Linked DNA regions of Arabidopsis thaliana. The protein of the gene in region 2 interacts with the protein of the main gene of each other region in a biochemical or structural test. Each region holds a gene or a part of one and is shown on either strand. Other genes may lie near its edges. The genes, in order: KIN10, NUC and KIN11.

Region 1 (6,442 bases), on a different chromosome or scaffold from region 2:
ATATTTGTAATTTTTGTTCATTATTTCAGCAGGAAACAAAGAAGGAAGCCGAAACAGAAATTGTTGTCCAGACGCCGTCAGAGACGTCTCAGGCGACGACACGAAGCGAGTTTCCGTATAACAGTTTGTCTCAAACCACGGCACCAGCGAGCGGGTTCGCGTGGGCAGGGACAAAGAAGAGGAAAGAAAATGACGTAGCTTCAACGCTGACTTATATCCAGCCAGGATCTGCGAGCCACGTGAGTGGTATGAGCATGGCTTTTGCTAAGAACACTTTCGGGTTAACGATAAACGAAGACAAACCGTTTCTTAGGCCGCACGTTTCTCTGGACCCCTCTGATGTGTTGTTGTTCTCTGGCGTGAATCACAAGAAAACAGAAGAAGATATGGTAAGTCAAATTGAACCCGGTACCATCTAAACCGGCAGTTGGAATTCAATTTTAATTTTTGATAAAATCATGCAGGATTTGACGAATCTTGGGGCGAATCCGAAGATTTTTCAAACAAATGGGATGAATGAAATATTACGGAGGACTGAAAGTGATGTTAGAGTTGGTGTTCGAAGACCACCACGAATAGAGAGAGGTTAAAATTTGGGGAAAAAGCGAATTAAATTACCAGAATTTTTAGCCAAAGATATATATACATTTTTTACCTACCATCATGATTTGTAGTCCATATTTGTTTAATTTTTCATTTAAAAAAAAAAGCCCAAGTCAGTGTGAAATTATTCAATTTCAGGTTTACCAAAAGATAATTGTGTCTTTTTTTATTATTATTACAAATTTCCTTGTATTTTTGTGAGAGTTTATCTCACACTTGATGTGTTTTTTTTTTTTTTGCAGGAGAAGATTAACTGGTAGGTAAAACCACACGTTGGAAACTTTTGAAATTCTTTTTGGGCTTGTTTTTGAGTTTGTATAGTTTTTGGATCTTAGTTCGAAATAAACACATCAAGCTCATCCTAAATGTTCGTTTTTCAATGTCTTAATATTAGTAGGATGACAAAAACAAAAAACAACTATTTTTGAATTTGCTAATTTGTTTACACAAAAAATATAGTGTAATATTGACCCATCAAATAATACACGAAACAAAAACAACTACTTCTGAATTTGCTAATTTGTTTTCAATGAAACTAATTTAAACATCTTTCCTTCAATTTTTGTCAAAATGTCTTTCCCTTAACTTATTGATTTTAATCATAAGAAATATGGAGTAAACAAAAACAAAAATCAATCTTGGTGGCATGATGCACTACAAGTTATGTACAAAGTGTCTTTTTTTTACTCTTGCTCAGTCTTACATTTAAGTTAAAAGAGGTATTTGAGTAGAGCACGCATATAGAAATAGAAAGAAAGAGAAGAAGAAAAAAAGGGTTACGTTTTCTAAATAATTTCTTAGACGAATAAGAAAAAAAAAAAAAAAGGAATAAGTGGGGATTATTCTTGAAGAGGTCCGGTTTAGTATTCAGAGGACTCGGAGCTGAGCAAGAAAAGCAGCACACAGATCCAAGAACAAGAACTGAGGACCTTGTACTCTCTGCAAATCCAGTAGATACTTGTCGTCCCGAGTTTTATACAACTGTTTCACCATCAACAATAACAAACGTCATCAAGCCCAGAAAATATTGATTGATAGTTAGATTCATGAAGATTCACTCTAGTTCTAATTCAGTTACAAAAATGGCCATGGACACTAATACACAAAGCTTTCTTTCACTCGAAATCACACATCAGAAACAATGTCGTACGGGAAACCGATATGTATCATGAAGTGGAGAAGAGGATTTACCTGAATTTCAAACTTGACAACATTGGGCGACTTAACAGCTGCTTCGTTCTCTATTATGCTGGACTCGTCTCCAAAGTAGTTGTTATCGTGCATCGAGTTACTGAGCATACCATCTGCGCTGCTGTTAGGAACCCATCTGCACTTCATGTTGTAGTGCCCTATCTTCTTCCAACATACATTCAAATCTTGCAGGGCTTTCAGGACTTCCGTCATTATTTCACGGGGATGAGCCCGAGACTGTGCGATCAAATTGTTACAATATTAATCACATATATATCAAAAGCTGAAGTCTTTATACCATAAATACAGAAAATATCAAAACCTGAAGTCCAAGAGCCCATTTTCTCTCAACAGGGTATTGAGATCTCAAGCCAACTCCTTGATATTCCATCAGTCCTGGAAGCCGATGGCTAACAGGTGAAGCAACGCTTTCTGCTGGATGCATACGGGGAGTACCTTCCTGATTAAATCAAACAATGAAGCATTACGTCAAAGATCTTTTGCTAAAGTCGAAAAGGACAAAAAAGACTAACCATGGTCTCTTGAAACTCAGCCCCGAGATAACCACTAGAGGCACGGAAACGATTGTCCAGTATCAGATAGTACGTCACAGTGCCCTGGAAGACAGTCGGTAAGAATACAGTATTTAAGATCTTTTGATGGAATTTTTTTTAATCTTTGAAATGAAAGAAACAGCAAAAGAACAAGTGGGTGGGAAACACATACATCATTCTGGGTTCGGTTGCGGAGCGATTCGATGAGGTGGTTTCTGTCAAATCCCATATTGATAACTTCTTGGAGAATCTCCTCGTCAATCTACAAATGAAGACAGCGCTTTTACGCCTTTATCGAAAAATGGGAATAGAGATTTCTCTAATGAAAATAAGAGTAGATACGTTAGGCTTACCTTTTTTGCCTGTTGCACAGTATCTGGAGGAGGAACAGCTAAATACCTCGGAAGATGAGCTTGGAACCAAGGGTGTTGCCGGATCTCAGGGATGGTTACTCGTTTCATGGGGTCAACTACAAGCATCCGGGGGATCAAATCTCTAGCACCAGGAGATAAATGGCTAGGTAATGTGTATATCCCTCCCTATAGGACGAAAAGAGAAAAAAAAAAGGTTACAGTCGAAGGGTGATACGAAAAATAAAATAAAAAATTCAAGCATTAGTTCAAATAGACGAAAGAGGAGGAGTAATAGAATGTACCTTTATCTTCTTAAAAAGGTTGGGAATGTTTTCATCATCAAATGGAAGCGTCCCACAGAGAAGAGCGTAGAGTATCACACCACAGCTCCAGACATCTACTTCAGGGCCAGCATATAACTTGCCCGAAATTACCTGAAACAATTTATAGATCTCGACTATAACCTATCATTTGAAACAAGCCTAATTATAGTATTCCTCAGATACCTGAGGGCTGAAGCACTTACCTCTGGAGCGGCATAATTTGGACTTCCACAACTTGTCTTCAAAAAATGACCATCTCGCATTATGTTGCTCAGGCCAAAATCAGCAATCTTTACATTGCATTTAGAGTCCAAAAGCAAGTTTTCAGGCTTGAGGTCTCTGTGAACCACCATGTTTCGATGGCAGTATTCCACTCCTGATATTATCTACATCAAAGCCAAGTAGCTAATTCTTAACTCTCAAATATAATATAAAATCGAATGGTTGCTTGGAAAGTTACATGTTGATAAAATAAAATAAAAACATACCTGCTGAAAAAAGTTCCTCGCCTCATCCTCCTGCAATCTACCCTTCTCAACAATATAGTCAAATAGCTCACCAGAGTTCACATACTCCATGACAAGATAAATATCTGTGGGAGTCTCTATAACCTCATAGAGACGGATGATGTGAGGATGCATAAATAGTCTCAAGATTTTGATCTCTCTCCTCACTGCATCAAAGACCAAATAAGTTCAAAGGAAGGAAGACGAAAAAGAAGCTATATATTTATATATTCCAAGAGTACCGTGAAGTCACAACTAAGGTGGAATGGATACACAAAACAAAACTTGTACCTTTCTCCTCCATCTCCATGTTCTTGATTTTGCGACGATTGAGGATCTTGATAGCAACCTTATGTCCTGTCAATGCATGCTCAGCTATCTTCACCCTACCAAAGGAACCAATACCAAGAGTTCTCCCAAGCTTGTAATTTGGTAGAATCGATTCTACCCCACTTCTACTGCCTGTGCCTGATCCATCCATTCTCTACAAAAAAAGAGAGAGAGATATTAGATCTACTAGTACACAACACACAAAACAAACTGCAAAAGAGTAATAGGAACAAAAAGCAAGTAATTTTTACACTTTTGAAGATTCTGTGATCGATCGTTGAAGAAACTAAATTAAACTCATCTACTCGTTTGAACATGAGAATTTAGCGAGAATTAGGATCCCTTTTATTATCCAGAATAAACCAACCAACACTAAGAAGAGAGCTTAAAATAGCAATTTTCAGACTATCCCCAATTCGGAATATGAACCCTAATAATAATTCAATCGCAGAGGATTACTGGATCTCTCGTACCCGATTCAGAAATGACGATTTCAAGATCAATCCATTGATTTGCAAAAGGGCGAGAATTTTTTTTATTTCCGAAATAAGAAAATTGAGAGATATCGAAACTTACCAAAAATTAAAAAAGGCGGAGGAGAAAATTCGGAACCAAAAAATGCAGCAAAAAAAAGTCCCAAAATTTTCTGAGCTGAAAAAGTAAAATTGAGGAAGATCCAGAGATCAGCTTAAACCCAGAAATTATTGATAGATTCTTCCTCTCGCTTTCATTGCTCTCGCTCCTGTAGCCTATAAGGCGCAAGCAAGTATCAAAGACGAAATTATTTGATTTTTGGTTCCATAAACGGATCAATCTTTAACTAAATTACCCCCAGAGTTACGACTAATTACAATATATACCCCCATGCGGACGTGGCATCTAGTCATCATCTTTTTGCTAAATATTCTCTGTGGTAAAATTATTAACCACCGTTTTGTTTTGGCATCTTTCAAAAAGTTTGTACCGTCTTAAACCGGTTTAGAGAGATACATTGACATAAACTTTTTTTCTTTTTTACACAAGCCAAGTGTAAGCAAATGTACAAGACAAAAACCGCTTGATTCTCGGTTAAGACCCAATGTACAAGACAACCGGTTTAGTGTGTTCTTTCATGGATTGCACCAGGTATAGTAAACCAACAGCTTCAACATAAGCAAACTTCAATAGCTCAAGTAAAAAGGTGATCTCAAGGTGAGATATCTCTCGAGTCCTGTGATGCCGAAAGTGCAGGATCTCGGTAAGCAACAACGAGTTCCGAATAGAATTCAGACATGTTTTGCTCTCTCTCGTCTGCTTTATCTTTGTTTACCAGACACTGCAAAAGTAAAACATCCATCATCACCATATAAAGGTTTAGAGTAGATGCTGTAATGTAATAAAGGACTATGCATCATGTTCTGTTTGTTTTGTTTAGGTTAGGAATAAAAGATTATCTAGCCATATTTTTCTTCCATTGGATCAAAAATATGAGTAACTATTTCTCTAAAGCCTTTACCTGGGTAGGATAAGATTTGAAATTTGGTAAAAACCGTCTTTGGCAGTAAATGCTGAAAAGGACCGTGAGAACCGGAAGGGGAATTGTTAAAGAAGATGCCACTGGAAGCTCTTTAAGCCCGAATAATCCGACTGCAATAATGTGCATTAGTACCAAAGAGAAGATAGTATAGCTGTGAACTATTGGCCAAAACTTTCCACCAGTTTCATACTTGGCCGCATATACGTTTAGGAGCTGCAGCACAAAAAGGTGATGTTATTTCTATCAACAAGTTGCAATGGATTCATTAAGAAGAAAAAGAATTATGTGACGAGAAAATGGATTCTTGATGTAACGTTTATGTCATGACTGAAGCTCCAAAAAATACTTTCGGTTTAAAGATGCTATTCGAGAATTTAGAAAAGGGATCACATATAAAGAGAAGATAAAAGTGAGATTCCATATAACGAAAATATGTGTAGCTGATTCCTATATGATTTTATCAGAGATCAACAGAGAATTATACTTAGGAGTGAGATTGGTTCCGTTACCTGGTTGCGGTAGATGATATATCCAAGACAATAGTAGACCAACAAGAAAGGCAGTATCAATGGCGAAAGGAAGAAGTAAGTTATACCGAGGAGTCCAAAAAATAGAATCCTTGGGATTTCTTGGCAGAAAGGAGTTGAAGGAACCTCAAATTCTTTGTCATCTTCCTTGCCGAAAAGTTTCGTTATGAAACTCCAAAGAAGAGGAACCAAACGGAGGATCTCTGATGATAAACCAGTCCATCCAGAGGTCACAACATAAGATACAAAGAACGATGCCTACACCAAAGATTAAACAATAAACATGACTCGTGGTACGAAAAGGGAATTCCGGAAACCTCAATACTGAATTTTGTGTTCTTTACCTGTGCTGGCACAGCTGCAGCAAGCACACGAGGAATAGTCTTAGGTTCAAGGAACACATTAACACGATAAAGGGCAGATCCGGACAGTACATTTGCAAAGAAACTGTTCCATACAGTAAAGATTAGAAGCTTGATACATGCAGATTTCTCAATCTGGCTATGAGAAATGAATCCTTGCATTGAGGAAAGTAGAAG
Region 2 (6,227 bases):
ACAGAGATTTGATAATTTTTTAATTGTTGAATACTTTTTTTTTGTGCTAATTTTATGTGATTAAGATTTAGTTGATTTCATATATAAAATATCAAATTGAGTTATTTGTTTATAATTTGGTAACAGATAGATATTTGAATATTCAGTATATTTTGCTTCAGTTTAGGAAATCTTTGATGACCCGTCTTTAGATCCAATAAGTCCTATAATCTAGAGATTAATCTGCAGTATATCGCAGGTAGGCTTATATTTTAGTTAAACTAAAAACTTTTATTGTAAAGATGATTTAAAAATATATGATATTATTTTATTTGATTTTAAATGTATAGTAGACTGTGAGTTGTATATGTTTTGTTGATATTATCTATATTGTTTAGTGTTTAAGATTATACACTTGTAGTTTGATTATTAATTTAAGAGTTTCACATGTAGTATACCATCTTGTATTAATATCGATATAAACCCGTCAATTCTAGGATTTTCCAGCTTGTATTAAAAATTGAATCACATCTAATATGTTATTAACTATTGTAGTATATAAGATTATAAATTTTCAATATAATATGTATGAAATTGAATATAAATATTTCAAATTTATGTCTCGTTACTCAGTAGAAAGTTTTCTTAAATATATTTTTCACCCGTTATAATATTATTTCATGTATTGAACAGTTTATATTCGTTTTTAAAAATTTAAATTATGGCATATGCGAAAAAACTCTAATTATTTTTTTATAATGATGATATTATTTTTCCGTAAAAATAGAATCATATAAAGATGAGAAATGAACTATAATAATTAATAAAAAATTAATATGATAATTTAGATACCAAATATAGTTTGTTGATTTTAATTGGTTACTTTTTTGGAAATTAATAATGTATTTCGTTTTTCTAATTAAATTAAATTAATTAAAATTTAGATATCAAATCTTATATGTTGATTTTGATTGGCAATTATTTTTGAAAATTAATAATGTATTTCGTTTTTTAATTAATTTAATTAATTAAATTAGTATTTGACTTTTTAATCCTTATAGAGATAAATTAATTTACTCTTTAAAATTTTATTTCTAATGGCATACCTATGTAATTACTTACAAAAATTAAGGTTACATTTAAAATGTACTTCCCGTATGATAAAAATTCAAAAGATTATGAATGTCTTGTGAATGTCATTGACATATATCTTGAAGATAAACACATTCATTATACATATATCATAAGTTTTAGAATATTGAATTAATAAAAGAAAACAACTTCCATTACCATATACATATGTTATCTTAGAAAATGGTGGAAATGACAAAAGATTCCTTCTTCTTTTACGTAATTTATGCATTAACCCCGAAATTTTTAAACTCTTTCAAATCCATCCATTGATAGACGATGGATGGCACAACGTTTGTACACCAACCCCGAGGAAATCCCGAGTTTGCCCTCCTCCACCCACTTCACCTCCACCATCAACTCTTCTACGTTTCCAAGGGTAATTCTGTAATTCATCCAAGGCAGACGCAACCGTAACGTCATTTCTAGCGTTCTCGATCTCTTGATGATCATGACTACGACTCATTAACCCAATGTTGTTGTTAGACCCGAACAAAGCAAAAAACTTTTCGCCACTGTCATAACTGGTGGTTTGATCGGTGGATTTAAGCGGGAAACTTTGAAGAAACGTTGATGGGTCATTGGTCGCTGCGGTTGTTGTAGAAGTAGCGCCAATTTCAGCAGCTTTCTGTAGTAAAGCTGTCGCGGACATATTCACGTTTGAATTTGCGTTTGCGTTTTGTGGTTGGTCGCTGCTGAATAAAGAAGGGGCAGAGAGAGTAGTGGTAGTGGTCAAACTTGCGTTTGCGTTTTGCGTAATCTGCTCATCGTGAGTATTATTATTATCAATGCAAGCAGACGCTGCCTTAGCGTTTCCAAAAACCCAATCGTAGTCCGGTTGCGGTTGAGGCGGCGCGATATCTTGTCCCATCCATAGAGAGAGCGACGAAGAAGTTGGTGGCTGAAAATGTTGATGATGATGGTTTGGATTTGTTTGCGGTTGTGGTACAAATGGTTGAAGCGGTGGGATGAATGTTCCCATGAGATATTGATAGTTGAGATTAACTGATCCTGGGGCTCCAGCCGCGGCTAAACCGTTGAGATGAGACACTGCGTTTATCTTAGCGGTTTCTTCCGCTAAGGCATCGCAGAAAGCTCTATGAGTGATAAAGCTGTCTCGCCTGTTTCAACCAAAACCACCATTAGTTAACGTCTTAATCAACATTTATCTCAATGCATTTATATCAAAGTTTTAACTGATGAAAATACTTGAAAACATTTAGCTGCCTTTTCTTTATGTGCAGCAGTAAAAGTAGAGAAAAACCTAAGTACATATTTCCGTAACATAACTATTGATGTGTCAATCTTGTGTTGACACTTTTTCCGCATATTAAGTAATAAATAATGTTACCATTTTGAACCATACACACATGAAGTACTCCATTATTTGTATATATTATTATATCTAGCTTATGTTATATGTTCATCATGGTTATTATAAATTTATACCACTTTTTGCCTCAATCATGACACTAACAAAAACATTTTCCCAAGCAAGAAACTTTACCCTACTTCAAAAGAGATAAACAAACACATAGGAAATGACAAAACATACTTATAAAACTTAATCAAACTACATATTGACAAAAACGAAGATGTAGATACTATAAAGCTACTATAGAATAGCTTTCGAACATGATCAATACAAACGACAACACATATATACATGAAGCTTATTTTTAATTTAATTGACAGAGAAAGAAAAAAAAGTGTACCTTGAGAAAATGGTGCCACAATCGCAACGGTACTCTCTAGTACCACAAGTCTTGGAATGAGCTTTCCAATCAGATTGGACTGCGTATCTCTTAGCACATTTCTCGCACGTCCACTTCTTCTCCCCGTGTTTCCGGCAAAAATGCTTTTTGATTCCAGTGAGATCGCCTAGAGCTCTAGAGGAGTGATGGTGGACACATGTCTTCTCGGGGCAAACGTAGACACGTTTTCTCACTTCTTTGCTTGTCCTCTGCTTCAACTTCCATGGAAGATTATGTCCTCGCCGATGAAGCTGTAAGTTTTGGTCTCTTTGGAAACCTTTGCCACATACCTCACATAGGAACCGGTTCGTAGCCATCAAGGTCGTGGGGGATAAAGCTATCACTTCAGCTTCCGGATCTAAGTGGATCATCATTAACATTTGTGGTTTCTTTAATTAGGTCAATTCGGAAAACAACATCTATTTTTGGATCGGATCATGTACTTTAGTAAAAATAATGTGTGTGCTTTTCTTGGTGGAGGTAATAATAATAAAGGGTATGTAAATATATTTTCTCATGGAAACTATAATGCGATTTAAAAAAGAAGAACTCTATAGATCAAATAAAAGTTTTAATTTACTAAAAGGCCTAGTATTTTCACATTAATTAAGCATGAGCCAGTGATCTATAACTCATGCAGCCAAATACTACTTTTGATTTAGGTCAAGATCCAGAACAAAACAACCCAAGAAAATTAATTTATAGGGGGCAAAAAAATAGAAAAGATACTAGGGTTTTCTTTTTAGGTGATGATCAAGCTAGCTGAGATTTAATATAAATAATTACCAGGATTTCCAGGGAGATTTCTCTTTTTCTTAACAAGAGGAGGATTGATGAGAGATTCATCATGATCCAGGGTTGATGAGCTCTGTGGCTGAGCAAAACCTGATCCACTTGAGATTGTTTGAAGAACTTCACTTGTCATGTCTTCTTCTGGGTTCTTGACTTCTTGGAAGAGAAATTAAAAGTAGGTTTTTGTATAGTTCAGAGAGAGAGAGAGAGAGAAGGAGACAAAAGGTTAATATAAGAAAAAGATTAGAAATACTAAGAAATCTGCAAGTTAACTATGAACGAGAAGGAAAAAACAACAAAGACAAAGATATATTGGGTTCTCCACTTATATATGGCTTTTGTCTTAACCTATACCACTCTATATTAGCTCCTATATATAAGTGTGTGTGTGTGGGTATATTAGCACCTTGATATGTTAAACTGTTGCAGCCATTTTGATTAAAATATGTGGTTAATTGTATTTTTCTTTTCCTTTATGAGATTATTTTAAAAGAGCAAAGTGGATGGCGGTGGAAAATCATAAGCTGAAAGTGATAGCAGCAGAGCCAATAAAATTTCAAAATGCAGAGATAGAAAAAATTTAACATCCCTTGATTACTTTATAGGCACCCTATGTTTGCAGTTTCACTATGAATTATTTCAATATAATAAACAATTTTCTTTTAGTTTGATTCATTTTATTTCATGTTCATACATCCTTAGTTTTGTATAGACATGGTATTTGCTAAGAGTAATTTTAATTACATTTTTTCACAAATGATAATCATGTATTTATGCATCATACAGCATCAAATGCTTCATTTATATTAAATCTTAGAAAAATCGATTAATAGCCTTGCAAATTCGAAGCGAGCTGTTAAAAAATGTAATTAAATTACCAAGATATTCGAAGTAATTTTGTTGTAGTAGTGCGTTATGACACATAGAAAGTTGATATTTCTATCTTTTCTATTGAGAATGATTATCTCGTTATTTTTGTGTTGCCCTTTCCTCTCCATTTTTTTTTCTGGTTTTTTGGGTCCAATAATTACTTACTTTTTGTTCCTACATGCTCATGTTAACTCAGTGCAAAAAAACAATCTTACTATATTTTTTTTGTTTTTTATTTTATTTTTTACACTTCTTTCTATATGTTTTTTTGGGGATAAAATGTGAAGTTATTTACCAAAAGGAACAGTTTATTAGAAGATCTTTTCGTAGCATCAAAGGTTCATTTGCCAAAAATAAAATAAAAATAAACAAAAATCTAGATACAACAATATTAGGCACTAGAAAGGGCTTTACGCATATGTAAACAAACTACTGGGAGATCAAAATTGTGTACGCCTTGTGATTTTTTCAAGCTTGTAGAGTATATAATACGAAATGCATCGATCAATCTGCCTAAAGAATGATGAGGCTGTAGTGGAGTGTAGTTAATCTTTTTGGATTCAAGGAGTACTTTGATACAGATAGCATAAAGAAATTGTTATATGTATATATATATATATATATGTTTTTATATATCCGTAAATTTTATCTTAAATGAATTATGTTTACAAAGTATTGTAATGTATATCTAGTTACAATAAGATACATTTGCTTTGCCAACAAATAAAAACATTAATCTGATTTATCAATTGCACAATCTCTATAATGCTTATTAATTTGAAGGTATGCAGTATAAGTAACAAAACAATGTATTAAAAAAATTGATTGACATTAGTGATCAATAAGAAAATTATAACTTTATCTATCACCTTTTTCTTTGCAATAGTTGTATTCAGTTTAAATACACAGTTAACGGGATCACTATTCACTCCCATCAGATATCATATACGGACATAGTCATTTTTGTTAGTTATTCATGAATCAGAATTTTTCACAATATGTGAAAGAGGTAAAACAGATCCAACGGTTATGGTCACATCTCTTGTTTGTCGAAGTCGAACAAAGCCTGCCATGCACGTGTACCCATGCACGTGCTCTTTAGGTATACTCCAACAACATACGACAAAAATACCTAAGATAAATTAGACATTCATTCAGACTTGAGAGTTCGTTCGACAGTAAAATCAAATGTTGAAATTTTATTATTACGATGAAGCTAGCTGAAATCAATCTCTTCAGAACCTACAACTCTTAAACTGATTCGCCTACCTATTTATTTATTATTTAACATTTTGGTTTTATGAATATTTTTTTTTTGGATTTTTTTCTTTTTGCTAACACTTTTTTTTTCGATTTGAGAAGAAAATTTGGTGTCTTTATTGAATGGTGGATAAAAGTATAATTTTTCTTGCTTTTCGATGATAAAATTTCTCCCCTCTTTTTTCTTTAAGAAAGTGGTATCAAGTAACAAAGCTTATTATTCTTTTGGAAAAAGTATATACATAAATATTTGTAATTTAACAAAGTAAATTTTTATCTCTTCCGCAAAACATAAGAATGTATTGGTCTCACATCTTTGCGAAATTCATTTACATCTCATGCGAATATATATCACTATTTTGGAATATCATCAATCTGAACTTCTTCTTGTTGGAATAAGCTTGAAGAAGAAGAAGTAACTTGAAGAGCAAGTTACTAAAG
Region 3 (6,509 bases), on a different chromosome or scaffold from region 2:
TTACATTGCTTGGTTTATATATAGGTTACAACTTGAGCATAAAGTTAACCTATTCTAAATATCAAAACCGACTAAGCCCATAGGCCCAATATATTCTCCCTCGTCATCTCAAAAATTCAAAGTTGAAGAAACTTATTTCAGTTTGCCCTCAAGCACAAGTAACTTTTAAAGAAGGAATAATCCATGTGATTGGAGAAGTCTTGCGGCCCACGAATAACAAGTGGAAGTGTTTTTCCTTAAATTGGCAGAAATTTAGGCAACCAGGAGAAGAAGGCTATACACACTTTTTCTGCGAAGGTGGCAGAAATTTATGACGGTGTTATGGACTATCATAAGGATACATGTTTTGCTTGTCCTTGGTTGTGTAAAGCTGGTTTCTTCTATGAATGTAGTAAAGAATGATGTTGTTTTCTGCTACACATGCAATGCGCCAAGATTTCTGAGCCACTAGTCCATCCAAGTCATTTGCATCCTTTATTCCTAACAACCAAACCGGGAGAGAAGCGAAGACATTTTTCAGTTTGCAAAGAGCTAGGACATTATTCCAGAAAGGAAACATTCAATTGCATTGAGTGTGACTACTTTTCTTTGTGTTTCAAATGTGCTACATTACCTCATAAGGTAATGTATAAGCATGATAAACATATGTTCACTCTTTCTTATGGGGATGAGATAAGTACAACGATGTATTGGTGTGAAGTTTGCGGTCCGAACCGACTGATGATGAAAAATCAGCAAAATAAATCCGAAGGAGCGGTTTTATGTGTGATGAGTACTGTAGTGTTACCCTACACATTCAATGTATGTTTGGGGTGGACTTATCCTTGAAGCCCGATATATTATTGTCCGACGGCGACCTATTTACTCCTTTTGCAAGAAGCATTGTCCACACAAAGTAGCTCTCCAATGTTCTGTATTAATATCGTGTTCCACATCTTGTATTGATGCTAAGGACTTAAGTTGGGTAGCCGAATTTTGTGAAATGGAATTTTGATGGACTCTGCGTGCAATGTTTTTAGGTATGACATGTATAATGTGTCTGATATAAACGTTGTATAAAATTGGCATCAGAGGAGAAATACAATAGTTAGAATGAAACAGCTAAGTTATGTACACATGATCAAACCTTAAAAACCATCAAAAAGAAGAAAGGATAGTTACTATTACAGTAGAGTTTAACTTAGAATCCAGGTATATAAAAGTAACCCGGCAAAGTAAACACTGCACCCACATATTATATTATGTTCTCTACTATTACAAACCATTGAACATGAAAGAAAAAAAATGTCTCAACAAATGGTTAAAACATTCAGATCACACGAAGCTCTGTAAGAAAGGCGGCGCATAGATCCAAGAAGAGAAACTGCGGACCGTTAACTCTCTGTATATCCAGCAAGTACTTCTCTTCCCGGGCTTTGTATAGCTGTTTCAAAATCAAAAGTGAACTCAGAAAGTGTATAATTGTTCTTCGAAAACAGTTGGTTCAAGTTCTAAAGAAGGTTTTAGTCTATGTCCTAGCTGGTTTAGTTTTGTTGAACTACTACTAGTGGGATAAAACAACATCAGGATCTTAGTCTTTGCTCCAGCACAATTCTACGAATGTAAACCCCGTTGATCGATTCATATCCCTAACAAACCGAACTAGGCAGTTGTTTATTTTCTCCAAGGAATGTTGTTGATACAAATGTATGTGTGAGTTTATAGTTACCTGAAGTTCAAATTTGATGACAGTGGGTGAAGTCATGGCACAGTCATCCTCAATGATGCTGGATTCATCTCTGAAGTGCAGCTGATTGTTGACCATAGTATTCTGACCATCAGCTAAACCAGGAACCCATCGACATTTCATGTTGTAGTGACCAATCTTCTTCCAACACACATTGAGTTCTTGAAGAGCTTTCAAAACTTCATTCATGATTTCACGAGGATGCGCATGAGACTGTTCAAAACAACAAGGTAACAGAATGATTATCGATTTGGCTATGTAGAGGCAAAGAGTACAGATATCTGATTGTGTGTTGCATTCAGAAGACTTTATGGTGAGGAACAAAAAGAATCAGTAATCAGGAACAAACCTGAAGTCCAAGAGCCCATTTTCGATCAACAGGGACTTGTGATCTTGCTCCCAACCCGTAGTGATCCACATGTGCAGGAATCCAGTGGCCTACAGGTGAAGCGCCCGCTTCAGGTGTGCGCATAGGATTGGAACCACTGTCCTAGATGAGTAACGTTGAAAAGGTGAACATGTTAGTCAAAAATGTTGGAAAGCTATCTACTGAGAGGAAAGAAAAACACATACTGTTGTCTCCTGAAACTCGGATTCTAGATAGCCACTTGGAACACGGAACCGGTTATCCAATAACAGGTAGTATGTAACAGTAGCCTGGTACAAGGAGCAAATGGCATTTCAGTGACTATTGGAAACTAGTTTCGGGGATTAAAAGCATTAGAGACAGGAAACTACATACATCGTTTTGTGTTCTGTTGCGTAGAGATTCCAAAACCTGGTTTCTATCAAATCCCATGTTAACCACTTCTTGAACTATCTCCTCATTGATCTGCAAAACATAAGAGATATTGTTACTATCACAGCAAGTGAACTCTATTAATCTCCAAATGGCACTGAAACCAACCTTTTTAGCCTGCTCTACTGTATCCGGTGGAGAGACAGCAAGATAACGAGGGAGATGAGTCTGGAACCAACGGTGTTGACGGATCTCAGGAATGGTGATTCGTTTCACCGGGTCAACTATAAGCATCCTTGGGATCAGGTCTCTAGCCTCAGATGATAAATGACTTGGAAGAGTGTAAATCCCACCCTAAAGAGAAAAAAAACACCTTGATAAGTTACTTCACATACATATGAATCCATTTAAGAAGAGTCTTTTAGCTGAATCAAAGTATAACGTACAGTACCTTAATTTTCTTGAAAAGGTTGGGAATGTTTTCATCATCAAAAGGAAGAGTACCGCATAATAGAGCGTACAATATAACTCCGCAACTCCATACATCTACTTCAGGTCCAGCATATAATTTACCTGATATAACCTACAACAAGAAGTAAGAGATAAGACACTCATAAGAGAAACGAGACATAGTCACATAGGTGAAAAACAATTCAGTAACTTTACTAAACTATATACCTCGGGAGCAGCGTAGTTGGGGCTTCCACAACTCGTCTTTAGAAAATGACCATCCCGCATAACATTACTCAACCCAAAGTCTGCAATCTTAATATTACACCTCGAATCCAATAGTAAATTCTCAGGCTTCAGGTCTCTATGGACAACCATATTACGATGGCAGTACTCTACACCAGATATTATCTATTCGGATATGAGTCAAACACAAACAACACTCAAACTCAAAGATGACATGATACGCTACAAACACACTGGTTATGGTAAAGAGAAAACAAACCTGCTGGAAAAAGTTACGAGCCTCATCTTCTTGTAATCTGCCTTTCTCAACAATATAATCAAAGAGCTCTCCAGACTTGACATACTCCATCACAACATAAATGTCACTCGTGGTCTCTATTACCTCATACTGCCGAATAATATGAGGATGCATAAACAACCGTAGAATCTTAATCTCCCTCCTCACTGTAAAGAAGAAATATACATACATTAAGATAAAAATACATACTAAAACCTAATAAGCAGAAACATTTGATTATCAAAGCTTTTGTTCTAGAAACCACTAAAGCTAAAAGTAACGGTGCTTGTATATACCTTTCTCTTCCATCTCCATGTTCTTGATCTTACGACGATTAAGGATTTTGATAGCAACCTTATGCCCTGTGACAACATGCTCTGCTATTTTCACCTTCCCAAAAGACCCAATTCCAAGAGTTTTACCAAGCTTGTAATTCGGTAAAATCGATTCCACTCCATTATTGCCAAATCTATTTGATGAATGATCCATTTCCTGTGTCCCAATTCAACATCAAACTCATAAGTAAGCTCTCTTAGCAACTTCTCTATAGAAAAACATCAGTAAACATATTAACTTGCTCAAATAAAAAAAAACATTCTTCAACTCAATTTTCATTTCATCAAATCTAATCTAAACCAACCATAAGCTTGTAAGAAAACTGACAAGAACCACCGACATAACTACTTTGTAATGGTGGTTTTGGTCTGAAACCAAACAAGAGACTCACAAGTTTGAGTTTAGAAGACAAAATTGATAAACCTTTACAAAGAAAAAAAAGTCAATTTACCTGAAAAGCTTGTTAATTTCGAAAACCGTCTTGGAGTAGATCCGAGAATCAAAAACCCAGATAAATTGTTCAAACAAAGAGCGAAGAAATATACAGAAACAAGGAGAATCAGATTGATGGGTATAAATAGGGCAGAATTGTAAATTACGATGTAATCTGAAGAAATTCTTGGGGAAGTCAGATTTCCAACTCGTAGGTGACGCAGAGCTGAGTCAGGTTTTTTTAAGTCTTCATGGTGAAAATTGGTAATGACGAATCAAGAAACCACAAAACCCAGATAAACATTTATTGCCATTTGCAAGCCCTTAAATTAGGGCCTTTTTGCCCATTTTCTGTTTTTGTTTGAAAAACTAGTTTTTTAAGGTTTAAAATTTTTATATTACTGTTTTTATGATCTATATATACATTTTTGCAGCCACTTTGTGAAATAAATCCTAGAGTTGGAGTTTATTTACAGTGGCTGCCACTCGCATTTAATAATTGTTTTTGATAATTAGAAAGAAAATCTTTAAATTAAATATTTGACAATCTTCCCAAAATCTTTCCACATTAACTACACGATTAGTTACTAAAATAAAACTTCCGAAATATTTAATATCATTTAATTACTACAAAATTATCATTTTTGATATTGTTTTTCTACATGACTATAATAATTCGATTATAATCATCAAACCGCAGAGATATTAGATAGCATTTAATTACTACAAAATTAAAAAATATTTAGACAATGATTCATAAACATATCATAAATAAAATCAGTGAATTTTTTTTACGGGACGGATTGGCGGGACGGGTTTGACAGGACGTTACTTAATAACAATCGTAAACTATAAAATAAAAATATTTTATAGATAAATATAATTTGCAAATTTTTATATATAGTAACTTTAAAAAATAAATTGTCTCCGCGGTATACCGCGGGTTAAAATCTAGTTTTCTATATATAAAAGCGTGCTAATGATAAAGCGGATAAATTAAGAAGTTTCAGACGCATTTTATTATATAAAGTAGAGTTTTTAAAGTTAATAACTCAACTGATCGTGACACGTAACAAGTCAATCGTTCATATGTTGATATTGTGTCGGATTTTTTTTTACTTTTTTCCTAAAAGAAATAGGCAATTTAACAAAAACAAATATTTACATATACTAATTTATATGTCTATATCTAAAAAAAATAAGTTATAGTTTACTTAACTAAGAAGGGAAACTAACAATAAGATGGAGTGTATAGAATTAAATTGTATTTGTATTGCAAAATCGAATTGTATTTGAAATGTATACAATCAAATTTAATTGTATTTGTATTATAATAAAATAGATATTTAAATTGTATTGCATAATCGAGATTTTTTAAATATTTTTTCTAAAAGAAATAGGAAATTTAACCAATAAAAATACATACACCAATTTATATTTCTATATCTAAAAAATTTAACTTAAAATTTTCTTAACTAAGAAGGAAAACTAACACAATAAGATGGAGTGTATAGAATAAAATTATATTTGTATTGCAAAATCAAATTGTATATGAATTGTATGGAATCGAATTAAATTGTATTTTTATATAATAAAATAGATATTTAAATTGTATTGCAAAATCGAGATTTTTTAAATATTTTTTCTAAAAGAAATAGGAAATTTAACAAAAACAAATACATATACCAATTTATATTTCTATATCGAAAAATTTAACTTAAAATTTTCTTAACTAAGAAGGAAAACTAACACAATAAGATGGAGTGTATAGAATAAAATTGTATTTGTATTGCAAAATCAAATTGTATATGAATTGTATGGAATCGAATTAAATTGTATTTTTATATAATAAAATAGATATTTAAATTGTATTGCAAAATTGAATATGTAAGATTGAAATTTGGTTTAAGGAAATACTAAATTAAATACTGAAAAGTATATGAATTATTATTTAAAATTTAAATATCATCAATAAGATGGATGTAGTCTATAGAATTAAAACAGTTTATTAAGATAAAATAGATAGTTCAAATGTAGAATAATTGCTGAGAATGCCCTTTTCACACTACCTTTTTCAGTTATACCCTTTCATATTTGACATTTTCATTTCTACTTTCAGTAAATTTTTAATGACTATTTTACCCTTATTTGGAAATTGTTTTTTGCCTAAAATATTCCAAATAAATTTCCTGCCAATAAAATACCATAGTTTTTGTTTTTGAGCATTTTTTTTAATACACCTTTTACACAGAATTCATTGTATATACTCGTATATAGCTTTCATTGTATTTAACAACTGTATA

What was found.
Region 1: the proteins of NUC (region 2) and KIN10 form a complex in vitro, tested with the Arabidopsis thaliana proteins (one study listed by BioGRID).
Region 3: the proteins of NUC (region 2) and KIN11 form a complex in vitro, tested with the Arabidopsis thaliana proteins (one study listed by BioGRID).

Annotation. Positions count from the first base shown.
Region 1 is NC_003074.8:29,967-36,408, forward strand, and holds KIN10 (SNF1 kinase homolog 10), read right to left. Parts: upstream 4,522-6,442; 5' UTR 4,178-4,521; coding exon 4,112-4,177; intron 4,015-4,111; coding exon 3,822-4,014; intron 3,698-3,821; coding exon 3,513-3,697; intron 3,411-3,512; coding exon 3,228-3,410; intron 3,136-3,227; coding exon 3,004-3,135; intron 2,888-3,003; coding exon 2,702-2,887; intron 2,611-2,701; coding exon 2,521-2,610; intron 2,412-2,520; coding exon 2,328-2,411; intron 2,255-2,327; coding exon 2,117-2,254; intron 2,032-2,116; coding exon 1,795-2,031; intron 1,585-1,794; coding exon 1,471-1,584; 3' UTR 1,215-1,470; downstream 1-1,214. Other genes in the region: AT3G01085 (Protein kinase superfamily protein), read left to right, coding at 33-389, 465-585, 846-856; HYP1 (hypothetical protein 1), read right to left, coding at 5,047-5,175, 5,356-5,589, 5,886-6,161, 6,248-6,442. UniProt on the Arabidopsis thaliana protein: Catalytic subunit of the probable trimeric SNF1-related protein kinase (SnRK) complex, a central regulator of cellular energy homeostasis, which, in response to seemingly unrelated darkness, sugar and stress conditions, activates energy-producing pathways and inhibits energy-consuming processes.
Region 2 is NC_003076.8:17,770,653-17,776,879, reverse strand, and holds NUC (C2H2-like zinc finger protein), read right to left. Parts: upstream 4,025-6,227; 5' UTR 3,790-4,024; coding exon 3,651-3,789; exon of another isoform or gene 3,245-3,650; coding exon of another isoform or gene 3,223-3,244; coding exon 2,826-3,222; intron 2,232-2,825; coding exon 1,367-2,231; 3' UTR 1,131-1,366; downstream 1-1,130. UniProt on the Arabidopsis thaliana protein: Transcription activator that binds to the DNA sequence 5'-CTTTTGTCC-3'. Regulates photoperiodic flowering by modulating sugar transport and metabolism. Regulates SUS1 and SUS4. Transcription factor that regulates tissue boundaries and asymmetric cell division.
Region 3 is NC_003074.8:11,127,584-11,134,092, forward strand, and holds KIN11 (SNF1 kinase homolog 11), read right to left. Parts: upstream 4,523-6,509; 5' UTR 4,374-4,522; exon of another isoform or gene 4,226-4,373; intron 3,931-4,225; 5' UTR 3,928-3,930; coding exon 3,735-3,927; intron 3,606-3,734; coding exon 3,421-3,605; intron 3,327-3,420; coding exon 3,144-3,326; intron 3,049-3,143; coding exon 2,917-3,048; intron 2,820-2,916; coding exon 2,634-2,819; intron 2,559-2,633; coding exon 2,469-2,558; intron 2,384-2,468; coding exon 2,300-2,383; intron 2,217-2,299; coding exon 2,076-2,216; intron 1,940-2,075; coding exon 1,709-1,939; intron 1,424-1,708; coding exon 1,310-1,423; 3' UTR 1,037-1,309; downstream 1-1,036. UniProt on the Arabidopsis thaliana protein: Catalytic subunit of the probable trimeric SNF1-related protein kinase (SnRK) complex, a central regulator of cellular energy homeostasis, which, in response to seemingly unrelated darkness, sugar and stress conditions, activates energy-producing pathways and inhibits energy-consuming processes.